Canis lupus familiaris: one gene and its partners. The protein of the gene in region 3 purifies or fractionates together with the protein of the main gene of each other region. This does not show direct contact. Links are inferred from orthologs where the notes say so. Each region holds a gene or a part of one and is shown on either strand. Other genes may lie near its edges.

Region 1 (4,207 bases), on a different chromosome or scaffold from region 3:
TGGAGACCTGGGATCGAGTCCCACATTGGGCTCCCTGCATGGAGCCTGCTTCTCCCTCTGCCTGTGTCTCTGCTTCTCTCTCTCCTCTCTGTGTATTCTCATGAATAAATAAATAAAATCTTAAAAAAAAAATAAAAAATAAACCCACAGGCCCCACTTTATCTCCTTGTCTCCGCCACGTGCAGACGCAGTGGGTTACTAACTGCCCCCCCACCCTGCCAACCCAGGGCTCCTGGCCACCAGCCATTCGGTGGCAGTGAGCAGCAGAGGGTGCTGGGACAGCAGGTAGCCTCTCGTAAGAACTTTACTCCATGAGATCTGCCCAGAGGGACAGGGGAAGAGAGGCACACAAGGGTGCTGCTATGAGAGGGCCAGGATAGGCCCCGGGGAGGGGGCTCCCCGTCAACACAGCTGCCAGAGCTGTTTTTAAAAATATATTTATTTGAGAGAGCACGAACAGTGGGAGGGGCAGAGGGAGAAGCAGATACCCTGCTGAGTAGAAAGCCCGACCTGGAACTCGATCCCAGGACCCTGAGATCACGACCTGAGCCAAAGACAGATGCTCAACCACTGAGCCCCCGCCCCCCCTAAATCCATTCTTTAAAATACTTGTGGGAAGTTCCATATCGTGAGGAAGCAGCCTGGAAACACCCACCTCATGACAGTCTTCCGCTACAGAACCCTCCCCTGACAAATTGTGCTCCGAGTCTGAGTGCCCAGCGCAGGTAGGTGCCAGCTCCCCCACTCCGTGGGTGTACTCGGGACCCCCCTGCCGGTGTGCTTGGAGTTGCTCCCGTACAGGGATGCTGGTGTCACATTCAGCTACAAAACCTATCTAATGTGCCGCGGTGCTGACCACACTGAGCACCTGGGCACAGAGGTGCCGCTCTATTCACTAGAACATTATATTTACTCCACTGGCTACACGTTACCCTCAGAAAATGGTTTAGGGGAAGTTATGCAGGAAAAAAAAACATGGCAAATAAAGGCAAAGAAAGAATCAGATCCCAGTTCACAACATCTCAGAACTTTACTCAAAAAAGGGATGGTGAAGAGGTGAAGCAAATGGAAAGTTCTGTACCTTTCTAACGGGGACACTAAGCACATGTGGCTTCATCCACGCACATGGGGGCCACAGGCTGGTTCTCCCCACTGTAAACGTCAAATGTCAGGGGGAGGGCCGGGTTTCCCTCGGCCAGAACCCTGCACTGCAGAGGCGGCACCCAATCCGTCAGAACTGCACAAATCTCAGTCGGGGGCACCTCTGTGGCTTGGTTGGTGAAGGGTCTGGGGTTGGCTCTGGTGGTGATCCCAGGGTCCTGGGGTCGAGCTCCAGCTCCCATAGGGCACCCTGCTCAGGAGGAGAGCCTGCTTCTCCCTCTGCCCATGTGCGTGCTCTCTCTCTCAAAAATAGGGCAGCCCTGGTGGCTCAGCAGTTTAGCGCCACCTTCAGCCGGAGGGGATCCTGGGGACCTGGGATCAAGTCCCATGTTGGGCTCCCTGCATGGAGGCTGCTTCTCCCTCTGCCTGTGTCTCTGCCTCTCTCTATGTCTCTCATGCATAAATAAAATCTTAAAAAATTATAATAATAGTAAATGAAATCTTAAGAAGACTTTCTGATATGCGTGCCTGGGTCAGGCAGGGCCTTCCTTACCAGGACATCCTTCCTTCCTTAATAAATCCACGCTCAGCCAATCTGCGTGCAGTGAATGAGGCACCTGGAAATCATGTGTCCGGGGACCTGCTCTAAGGCATCCCTGGAAGATCGGGGAGGCTGCGCCGGGTCAGAGGGACCCCCTGCAGCCCACACTTACTTTTCTCCAGCTACTTTCCGCACTAACTTGGCCTCCGTCCCATTCATGTCTAGCTCCCAGCCCCCAGACATTTTGGGGAGGGACTTGTGCTTCTGTATTTTCTTTTCCTCCTTAATCTCATCATTCAGGAACTCGACGAAAGCTTTGTCCCCTGCAATGAAAACCCATAAGATACAGAAAAAGAAAAACCAGTCAGTCTTAAACCAACAAACGACTTGGGGTGATTGCTGTGGGAAACCTGGCCTCGACCGATTCTGATGCTTGTGCTGTTACGGAGGCTCTGGGCACGGAGTCAGACCCACGGGGCCTCGGTTCCCAACCTGGAAACGGGCTGGACACCCGTGGCAGGAGGCTGAGCTCAATTCTGGAAAAATGACTTCCAGCAACGAGCCCATCACCGCATTTCACAGCGAAGCCAGGCGATTCCCGTTACCCGCCCCAGACCACACACGACCTCCCCTGCTTTTAACTCTGACCAGCCGCCTCCCCGAATCCACCTCCGAGGCTCAGGATAGAGCCGGCTGCCGGGGTTTAGAAGCATCACCGCCAGCCAGGGAGCCACCACTCTCGGGATTAAGGCAGGAAACCTCAAGCCACGTGGGATTAACCTGGAGTCGTCCACTGCAGGGGGTCGTGAGTTTGGGGCCTTGGGCCCCCGCCCCCCTGGCCGCGGCTCCCCGGACCACCGCCCCCGCCGCGCCCCAGCCTCACCCTGGGTGTGCAGCCCGCCGCAGCCGCAGCCGCAGCCGCAGGGCCCGCGGGAGCGCAGGAGGCCCGCGCGCACAGGGAGGAGCCCGAAGGGCCGCACGCACGGCCGGGGCGCGGGCCGCAGCAGGGTCGGAGGCGGCAGGGCGGGGGCGGCGCGGAGCCCGGCGACCGCCGAGCCCAGGGCGCGGGGCACTCGGCGCAGCAGCGGTAGCATCGCGGCAACGCACGTGCGGGCGCGAAGGACGAACCAGGCCCGGATCCCGGCTCGCGCGCCGCCGGAAGTCCCGCTCCTCCCCGGGAGCGCTTCCGCGCCTGTGCAGTGCCGGCCCGGGGCGTCGGGCTGGCAGCGCCCTCTGCTGGGGCCGCCGAGGTCAGCGGGGCCGCCGGCGCCGGGTCTCCCCGCGGGACCCCGAGCCCCGAGGGTAGCTCCGCTCCGGGGCCGGCCCTCTGAATTCCCGCCACCCTTACCAAGCGTGGACACCACCCCGGCGTGCACACCACCTGTGTGCACCTCCCCAGCATGCACAGCCCCGGCACGCGCACACACACGGCCCCCAGCGTGTGCCCCTCCCCCCCACCAGCGTGCACCCAGTTCCCAAGACTTTGCATTGTTCTGGGACCAGGAAGCTGGGAGGAGGAGGGAGGGGCCCAGAAAAAGAGAGCTCTTAAGGCCCCGGAGAGGTCACTTGGGGCCTCCAGCTGTTCTTGGCACCCACACCCTACTCCTAGCAGCTCCTCGAAGAACCTCCTAAGGCGGTGTCAGAATCGCAGATGCAAAAGCCTTAGTCGTTACGGATTTTAAGGAATAAAAGGGAATGCAGAACTACGTGGGCGGCCGAACCGCATCCCAGACTTCAACCTCGCGGTACAAGTCCCAGGGCTGGTCCAAGAGCAAGGCGGGTGTTCCCATCGGAGATGAGCCCAAGACCCCAGCCCGTGGCCCGGGGGAGGGGGGGGGGAGGCGCTAATCGCCCCTTCCCCTGGCCCCACCCTCACAAGGTTAAGGTCTCCCCCGGGGGGAGCAGGGGCCTCATTGCCCTGACAGGGCGCAGGTAAAGGTGTTTTCAACCTTGTACCTGAGCAACCTGATGGACGCCCCTGCGCAGGGAACACAGCTGCTCTCCCTGGATATTCATCCCTCACCCTTAATAACCTGCTCGCCTCTGCTTGACAGTCACGGCTTTGGAAGTTATTTCCTTCCTCCTCCTTTGCTGCAAATCCTTTAGTTTCCTGTGTGGGGCTGCCCCTGGGGTCGTCTCTGGTGGAGTTATTTGGAATGTCTCCGTGTGGTTTGGTTGGGTCCTGGGCATCTTGGAGCTAAGTGGTGGTTTCATTTAGCCCAGGGCCAGGAGCCTGGGGCAGAAGGCATGCAGCCACTCCAGGGCTTGGGGAAGTAAGGGTTAGGGAAGATTTAAGAGGATAGGGGCACCTGGGTGGCTCAGTGGTTGAGTGTCTGCCTGTGGCTCAGGGTGTGATCCTGGGGTCCTTGGATTGAGTCTTACATAGGGCTCCCCGCAGGGAGTCTGCTTCTCCCTCTGTGTCTCTGTCTCTCATGAATAAATAAAATCTTTTAAAAAAAATTTTTTTTAAGAGGATTTTCATACACTGAAGAAGACTCTGGAAACCTGAGGCCTGGCTGTTGTCAAACTCAGAGTCGAGGGCTTCCCAGAGGAAACTCACCCTCT
Region 2 (3,656 bases), on a different chromosome or scaffold from region 3:
TCTCTTTGGCTCTTTGAGTGACATGGAAGTGACTTGACCTCGACCCTTGGGTTTTTTTTAGGAGGAGACAGTTGCAGAACTAAGAACTGTTGAGAGTGAAGCTGCATCTTATCTGGACCAGATTTCTAGGTAGGGCTTCTTGGCGTGGCCCAGGAATTGGGGGCTGGTGACATACCAAGCACTATCCAGGGTCTTCTGCAGCTTCTTCCTCTTTCTCCTTACAGATATTATATTACAAGAGCCAAATTGGTTTCTAAAATAGCTAAATATCCCCATGTGGTAAGTAAGGGTGTGGGGGTCTGAGGGTGGAAGTGGAAGGAGAGGGAGGAGTGGCTGTTACTCTGCAAGAGCTGCCACCTGTGGACAGCCCGGCCTCAGCAACTAGCCTTTCCTCCACCCTCCTTTCAGGAGGACTATCGCCGTACCGTGACAGAAATTGATGAGAAAGAATATATCAGCCTTCGGCTCATCATATCAGAGCTAAGGAATCAATATGTGAGTAACCTTGGTCCCTGCCCATAGTCACCCTGCCTGTTAGTCCTAGGGGTCATGTTCTTTGTCATTTTCTGGGGTTTGAGGTGGGGGATGGAGTAGGATAAAATGAGTAGGATAAATTCTCATTAACTGAGTTGAGAGCTGAGATCATTGAGGGTGCATAGCTGGGGATCTCCCTTTCTGTTTAGATAGCAGGGAGTGTAGTGCAGTATAGGTGTGAAAATGTGAGCATTAGAGTCACAAGGTTTAGGTTCAGAACAAATTCTTCCTGTAATCTGTGGCCTTAGGCAAGATGTTGAACCTCAAATGTCAGTTTCTTCATCTCTAAGATAGAACTTAGAGTATCTATGGCACAAATATGGGGGTTTTTTGTTTTGTTTTTTTACAAAGATGGTTTTTAAAAATGAGTGAAATAGGGGCACCTGGTGGCTCAGTTGGTTAAGCATCCAACTCGTGATTTTGGCTTAGGGCATGATCTCCTGCATAGTGGGATTGAGATTAGTAGGACTGCCCTGTGTTGAGCTCCACGCTCAGCAGGGAGTCTGCTTGAGATTCTCTTTCTCTGCCCCCTGCCCTCACTCACCACTTGCTCTTTTTCCCTCAAATAAATTAATTTTTTTTCCAAAAATGAGTGAAATAACATGTTAAAAGACCCAGTACCATCGTTGATTGTTATTCGACACTTGGGGCCTGGGAAGTATCCAGGAATCCCCAATGTGTGGGTATGTGAGAGACAGCCGCCCTGAATTCAGGTTCCAGTGAGTGGGATTGGGATTTTGCATGTGATTGGTTGGGGACTTGTGGGGGTATCTAGTTTCTTTGGGAGGTCAGATGGAACAAATGTGTGATTCCTTGACCTCTTCTCCCAGGTCACTCTACATGACATGATCCTGAAAAATATCGAGAAGATCAAACGGCCCCGGAGCAGCAATGCAGAGACACTGTACTGAGGCCAGGGCCAGGGCCAGGGGACTCTGTGAGTCTGGCTCAAGACCGACATTGCCTTGGTTTGTTACATGACTATCGTGATGGGGAAACTGGCTGGAAATAGTAATCACACCTCTCTCTGTTTTTAGTTAGAGTCTAATGAAACTCTCATGTAGTTCTGTGACGTGTTTACCTCTTTTTTCAGGCCTCAGGAACTCTTCTATTTCTTTCCCTAATACCCCACACCTGACCTGTCCTAATTTCTGGAGAATTCCAGGTTTGTGTGTGCAGGATATTGGCACAGGAATACTTGTGTTTTCTCTCCTTGCCCTCTCCCTCCTGTGTCTTGAGCTTTGTGTTTTCTTCCTTCTGTTGATTAGTTCATTAGAAGCTGAGGGAACTGGAAGGAAAGTGCTAGGTGTTTTTTAGGAACTGGGGTGGGAGGGGTCCAGCTCCTCTCCTCTGATGTAAGGTTAGTGTCTCTTGCCACTGTGTGGGACATTGGATCCTCTCTCCCACAGTTTTCCTGGTGATAACTTAGGGTTTCCCATCCACATACATCCCACCTTGAACCTGATCATGACAAGAAACACCTTAGGCCTTCTGCCAAGTCCCTAGCTCCTTGAGATGTTTTTATAACCAGGATTTTCACATACACATAGGTGTGTGGTATACACATACGTACAGACATGCACGCACATGCCTTCCTACTCTTAACCTGATTTCCCCATCGCATAGTCTGTGTTGTTGTCCTTTGTCCCCCCAACCCCCTCCCCAAGAACTCTGTCACACACACACATCATTCAGAAGCTGATAGTTGTCTTAGTCCTTACACACTGGGGCCCCTCGTTCTGCTCTTATATACAGGCTCTTGATGCCCAGAGGCTGGTGAGTTGGAGGAGAGCCAAGAGATGAGAAGCAGAGGATCTGGGGAAGGCCCCTTCCTCTGTGACTCCGGTCTTTTGGGGCATCACTGCAAAGGCTGGTCCTCTGGCTCCTGGTTGCCTCTTCTAGGCCAGTTGTAAATTGGCATGGGGCTCCCTGCAGCTCTGAGGGCCAGATGCTGCTGCTTCTGCTGGGCTTTCCTAGGGGAAAAATATTTCTCTTATTTATAGTATTGTGCTTCCAAGGAAAGCAGCACCTGTGTGTCTGTGTGTGTGTATGCACACACGCGTGTACGCTTTGTGTGTATGTGAAAATCTGCCAGGCAAGTCAAAACCGTAGAAGAGTTGCCTCCTATCTCTTGAATCTTCCAGAGAGATCACTTGTTACAGCTTTTCTGTTAACCCTCATCAAACCCCTACTTTTTTATTCTGCCGCTACTGGAGAGTTAGTATTGCAGTCAGCCTGCCAGCGACTCTCTCCATGTCTGTTTCTGACTCTTATTCTTCCCCTTGCCTTCATCCCCAATCATATTTCCACCCAGATGCATCATTTTTACTCCCAGTATGCTGTAAAGGAGTCAGAATGCTGTCTTCCCATGAATAGTACTCAGTAACAAACCAATTGCATTTTAGTTGGGCAGTGCCCCTACCCACCCTCCAGATCCCTTCCAGCTAAAACCCTACCCTTTTCCCACTATGTGTTTCTCAGTTTCCCTTTTTGTTTTTTGGATTATTCTGCTGCCCCTCCTCCTTACTCTACCACCCTTGGATCGTAATGTAAAATTCTTTTACCATGTCAAGAAATTATTAAAAACGCAGGTACTTTGACCTCTTTCTAAAGCTGCAGACCCTGGTGCGATGCTCTGGTGGCTAGGGACATGCCCACACTCAAGTGCGTGTGCACGGGGACACCCACCTCCACATACACTTCCAGCCACCCTATTGGGCTGCCTCTTTTCTCTAAAATAATGGAAAGACTGAGGCTTCTGCCTACCAAGAGGCAGGGGTGGTTCCTTTACTTGTGTTCAGTCTGAATTATGTGAAAGTTAGCCCTTACAAACCTAAGCTGCTTCTGTCTAACCTCCCAAGATACCCAGTTCCTTGCTGTCTCCCTGGTGATACCCATGAACTGCCAGTAGAGGCTGCTCTAGTTCCGCGTGTGGGAGATCACCTGGTTCAAGGCAACAGCCTACCCGGTCATTTTCTTGACCTTATACTAATTCTCCCTGCTGATTAGTGTCTTAAATTTCTTGAGGAGATACCAGGGTTTCCTGCTTTTGGTTTTCCAATGACTTGGAGGGCTGTCTAGGATTCTAGCTCTCTCTGAAATAAAGTTTCCTCAACTTCCAC
Region 3 (4,085 bases):
CCCAAATTCTAGCATGCACATGATTCTACCAACAAAAATCTAAACTTTCAGTGTGTGAATGTAAACTTCAAATTAGTTAAACCTCTGATGCTTTTGCCCATGTATCAATTACCAACAGATTTTCTTCATCAATGTCTGGAGACCACATTCATGATTTCTATAAGACAGAAATAAAGCAGATAAACTATACTGTATGCTGAAAAAGAGATTTTGTGGGAACATAATGCTGCAAATGAAAACTACTGATAAAATACTCTGTAAAGGCTGCTTAGAAAAATTTGATAGCTACATAGAAATTGCCAAAGTATCACCTACAACTATGAAAATAACTACTACTAAGTCACATAAAAATAAACATCATTAATCTCCCATTTTCATGGGGGGAGAGACCCTTTCTAGAATTATTTTGATCTTAACATATTTTATTTAGGCTTTCCAAGAAACACTCTAAAATAAATCAAATAAAAATGGCTTATTAGATCTTCCTAACAGTAGTTTTCTGAAGATTTTGTTTGGCTAAACCTACCATACTTACCTCAAACTTTGCACCACTGTTTGGTACAGCTGTTCCACGGTTGGTTTCTCTAGATCCAAGAACAGTTCTGAGACTAGCTGGCAAGTCAAAGTTGGCTGTTCCTAAAGCTTTTGCTGCATTAGCTTTTGCTATTTCTAACAGCTCCATTCGATCTATAAAACAAGACAAAACATTCATTAATCTTTCAGTACGTTTATCCAAAGAACAGTGAATCACAAAGTAAGTTTCTTTTATTTAGACTAACAATTCAAAGACATTGAAGTATTTTCTTTTAGTGGGTAAAATATAGCTGTGATGACAAAAAATTCTTCACCTCATCTTTTTTGCTAAGAAAAACAAGCAAGCATCCCTAAAGAATCTCAACAACTGGTTTTCAATTTGCCTTACCAAAGAGGCCTGAATTTCCTGTTTTCCCTTCCTCTTCAAATGTGTACTCTGAACATCAAGTCCTCTTGTAAAAGATTTTGTATTTGGCACAAACATCACAACTAATTAACCAATACAGACACATTACTAAATCTATTTTCAGACTCCTAAAATACTCCTTTGCATGTCTTTTTCTGTTCTATGATCCTATCCAGTGGTAAAACAAATCACTTGTAAAAAAAAAATACTGAAACTGGGGCGCCTGGGTGGCTCAGGTCATGTTCCCAGGTGCCTGGCATTAGAGCCCTGCATGAGGCCCTCTGCTTCTCCCTCTGGCCCCTCCCCTGCCCAGGTGCTCTTTCTGATAAATCTCTAAATAAAACACTGGAACAAAATACAGCAGTTCCAGTAACGTGGTATGGAGGAAAAAAAACTGTGATCCTCCTCTTTTCTTAAAAGCTTAAGACAGACTACTGAAATCACTAGCAACAGCTAGAAAGGCTCCACTGAGAAGGGCCAGCCACTAGGAAAAAAGGACGTATACCACAATCGGCTTCCAATCCCCAGGAGAAAAGACTGTCCACTTTAAAACTGGGTACCAGGGGATCCCTGGGTGGCTCAGCGATTCAGCGCCTGCCTTTGGCCCAGGGCGTGATCCTGGAGTTCCGGGATCGAGTCCCACGCCGGGCTCCCTGCATGGAGCCTGCTTCTCCCTCTGTGTCTCTGCCTCTCTCTCTCTCTCTGGATCTCTCATGAATAAATAAATCTTTAAAGTAAAACAAAACAAAACTGGGTACCAAATGGAGCGCTTTTAACCGCTCTTAATCTGTCCCTTCCCTCCTTCCTCCCAACGAAACTAGTAAAATTACAGGAACCAAAAGCAATGGAAAGCGCCACACTCCACGGCAACGTTGGTCCCCCCGCGCGCTCGCGTCGTCGCCAGCCACGTCAAAGGGCGAGGCGGCAGCCGACTCACCTTTCTCGCTCAAGCGAAAAGGGGTGGGGCTCCGCGACCGGCTCCGGGACCTGCCCCTCCAACTTCCGCGTTCCTCCGGGTACAGGGTGCGGCCGAAGCCGTAGTAGCGCCGGCCCTGCGGCAGCGCGTAGGCCCGTCGGTAATACGAGCGTCCCCGCGAGCCGGACCGGCTCCGGGAGCGCGGCCGGGACGGCGACCGGCGGTATCTCCCGGTCGCGCCGTAGCGCCGGTCCCGGTACCGGCGGCCGCGGGAGCGCGACCGGCTGCGCGAGTAGGAGCGCGAGTAGCGCCTGTACTTCCTCTGGTGGCGCCTAACGGACCCGGACCTCGACCTGCCCCTCCTCCGGGGCCGGCTCCGACTGCGACTCCGCGACGACGCCCGGCTCGAGCCGCTGGAGCGAGACCGAGAGCTTCCGCTAGACGAGCGGCTCCTGGACGCCGAGGACAGGCGGCCGGACTCGCCCGACCGGGACGTCGAGGGGGACTCCCCGTCCTGAGGCGAGCCGGGCCACAGGTCGTTCACGTAGTGGGACATCTCGGCCCGAGGCTGCAAGCTTCCCTCCGTCAGAGGATCCCTGCCCGGAAACCTGGCGCCTAAAACCTACCGGGGGGCGAGGGGGGCCGGAAGTGAGTCGCGCCGGCGGGCCCCACGCCGACTGCCCGCCCTGCCCGCCGCTCCTTTCCGCGCCGCCACCACCATCGCCCGCCCCCGCCTCAGAGGCCGACCCCGTCACCCGGAAACCTACCGCCACAGGCCGTCGACGCCTCACCGCGAAGGCGAAAGGAAAGGACCCACGGACACCCTCCTTCCGAAGCTGAGGACGAAGAGAGGGTTTCGGAGGCTGCTCTGGAAAAGCGGAGCGTCAACCACCCCCTTCCACCTCTAGCCCCGAAGTGAGGGCGGCGGTAGCCGGGTCGAAAGTACCAGAAGCCGACGCGCAGAGCATGCGCAGAGACGTCGGCGCGGCGGGCGTGGCTCCCCTCTCGCCCAACCGCCGCTCGCTCTTCCTCCTCTCGTCCCGCGCCCCGCCCCGCCCCGCCCCGCCCCGCCCCGCCCCGCCCCGCCCCGCCCCGCCGTGTGCAAAGTCCCGGATGCGCAGGCGTCATTCGTCCCGGGGAGAGGGAGGGGTGCGGAGCTGCTGCATCCGGGTCCCCGGGGCTCTGTTTTCTTTGCTGAAAGTGATAGTGAGAGGGACCTTCGCCCGGCGGGACCCCGGGTTCACGGCCGCCCGCCGGGCCGGTGCAAACAGGGACGGGACGGTGCAACTTCCACCGTCTGGGAAGCTGCAGACTCGGGCTGAGCCTCCCTGCACCCTTCGAGGCCACTTCCTCCTGACTGGTGTCCGGCGGGAGAGGGCGATCGCAGGGGGAACCCCAGGCTGGGGGACGGCGCCCCTCCCCGCCCCGCGGACGTCTCAGGAGCTCCGTCACTGCAGGGTTAGCTTCGAAAAGGTTGCTTAACGCCCGTATTTTGTCCAGTAAAGGTCAAGAAAGTTGACCCATAACGAGGGGGTCAGAATGAGAAGTCAGTTCCGAGGACTCTGCTTGGTGTTGGGGATTAAACAATGGTGACTTTTATTTCCGGGGATTTGTAAAGAGGAGAACATTCCAAGTATTACTTAATGCTTAATAAAGCATGACATGCCTCGAAATAACTTTTCATTGAATTAACTAATCACATCTGTAAATAGAGTCATTATATGAGGTTCTTTGCAAGTCAAGAGTGGCACTTTTACTTTCTTTGGAGGGAGATACAAATTCACTTTTCTCGTGTTTATCTTCACCCCACATCCCCCAAAGAAACGGAGGGAATAAAAACCTTATCACAGAATCTGCATCCGCTCATGTAACCTGCCTTGGCACTGTCACAGTATCATCTGCATCTCTAGGCAAGCATCGTGATGGAAATCACTCTTAAGGAAAGAAATATTTCCTTAGAAACATTTTTCTAAGTGGTATCAAGTAAACTGAGAAGACAGTGCCCAACTGCCAGGAACTTTTGCTGAATTTCTCATAAAGCTGTGTGAGTGGACAGAAAAAAATGAGTTTCAGTTTTGACAAGTATAAACGGGATGTGTTGGAATATAGCATGATGCAGTCTTGAGCTTTGGTTAAAACGGAAGGGGTGGTGAGAGTCTAAAAGGGTGGCTTAGTCGGTTAAGCATCTGCTTTCCAACTGGGTCTTTTTTTTTTTTTTAAGATTTTATT

Evidence for each region.
Region 1: the proteins of RSRP1 (region 3) and C1QBP purify together in Homo sapiens (affinity purification with mass spectrometry; 3 studies listed by BioGRID and IntAct, counting the BioPlex papers as one, with this or other methods). This does not show direct contact. The link is inferred for Canis lupus familiaris from reciprocal best matches to the Homo sapiens genes RSRP1 and C1QBP.
Region 2: the proteins of RSRP1 (region 3) and PSME3 purify together in Homo sapiens (affinity purification with mass spectrometry; 3 studies listed by BioGRID and IntAct, counting the BioPlex papers as one, with this or other methods). This does not show direct contact. The link is inferred for Canis lupus familiaris from reciprocal best matches to the Homo sapiens genes RSRP1 and PSME3.

Annotation. Positions count from the first base shown.
Region 1 is NC_049226.1:31,558,822-31,563,028, reverse strand, and holds the start of C1QBP (complement component 1 Q subcomponent-binding protein, mitochondrial), read right to left. Parts: upstream 2,821-4,207; 5' UTR 2,737-2,820; coding exon 2,526-2,736; intron 1,966-2,525; coding exon 1,815-1,965; intron 1-1,814.
Region 2 is NC_049230.1:20,058,221-20,061,876, reverse strand, and holds the end of PSME3 (proteasome activator complex subunit 3), read left to right. Parts: intron 1-61; coding exon 62-129; intron 130-224; coding exon 225-279; intron 280-408; coding exon 409-495; intron 496-1,364; coding exon 1,365-1,445; 3' UTR 1,446-3,134; downstream 3,135-3,656. UniProt on the Homo sapiens protein: Subunit of the 11S REG-gamma (also called PA28-gamma) proteasome regulator, a doughnut-shaped homoheptamer which associates with the proteasome. 11S REG-gamma activates the trypsin-like catalytic subunit of the proteasome but inhibits the chymotrypsin-like and postglutamyl-preferring (PGPH) subunits.
Region 3 is NC_049223.1:73,938,065-73,942,149, reverse strand, and holds the start of RSRP1 (arginine/serine-rich protein 1), read right to left. Parts: upstream 2,847-4,085; 5' UTR 2,624-2,846; intron 2,479-2,623; 5' UTR 2,413-2,478; coding exon 1,878-2,412; intron 688-1,877; coding exon 536-687; exon of another isoform or gene 113-535; intron 1-112.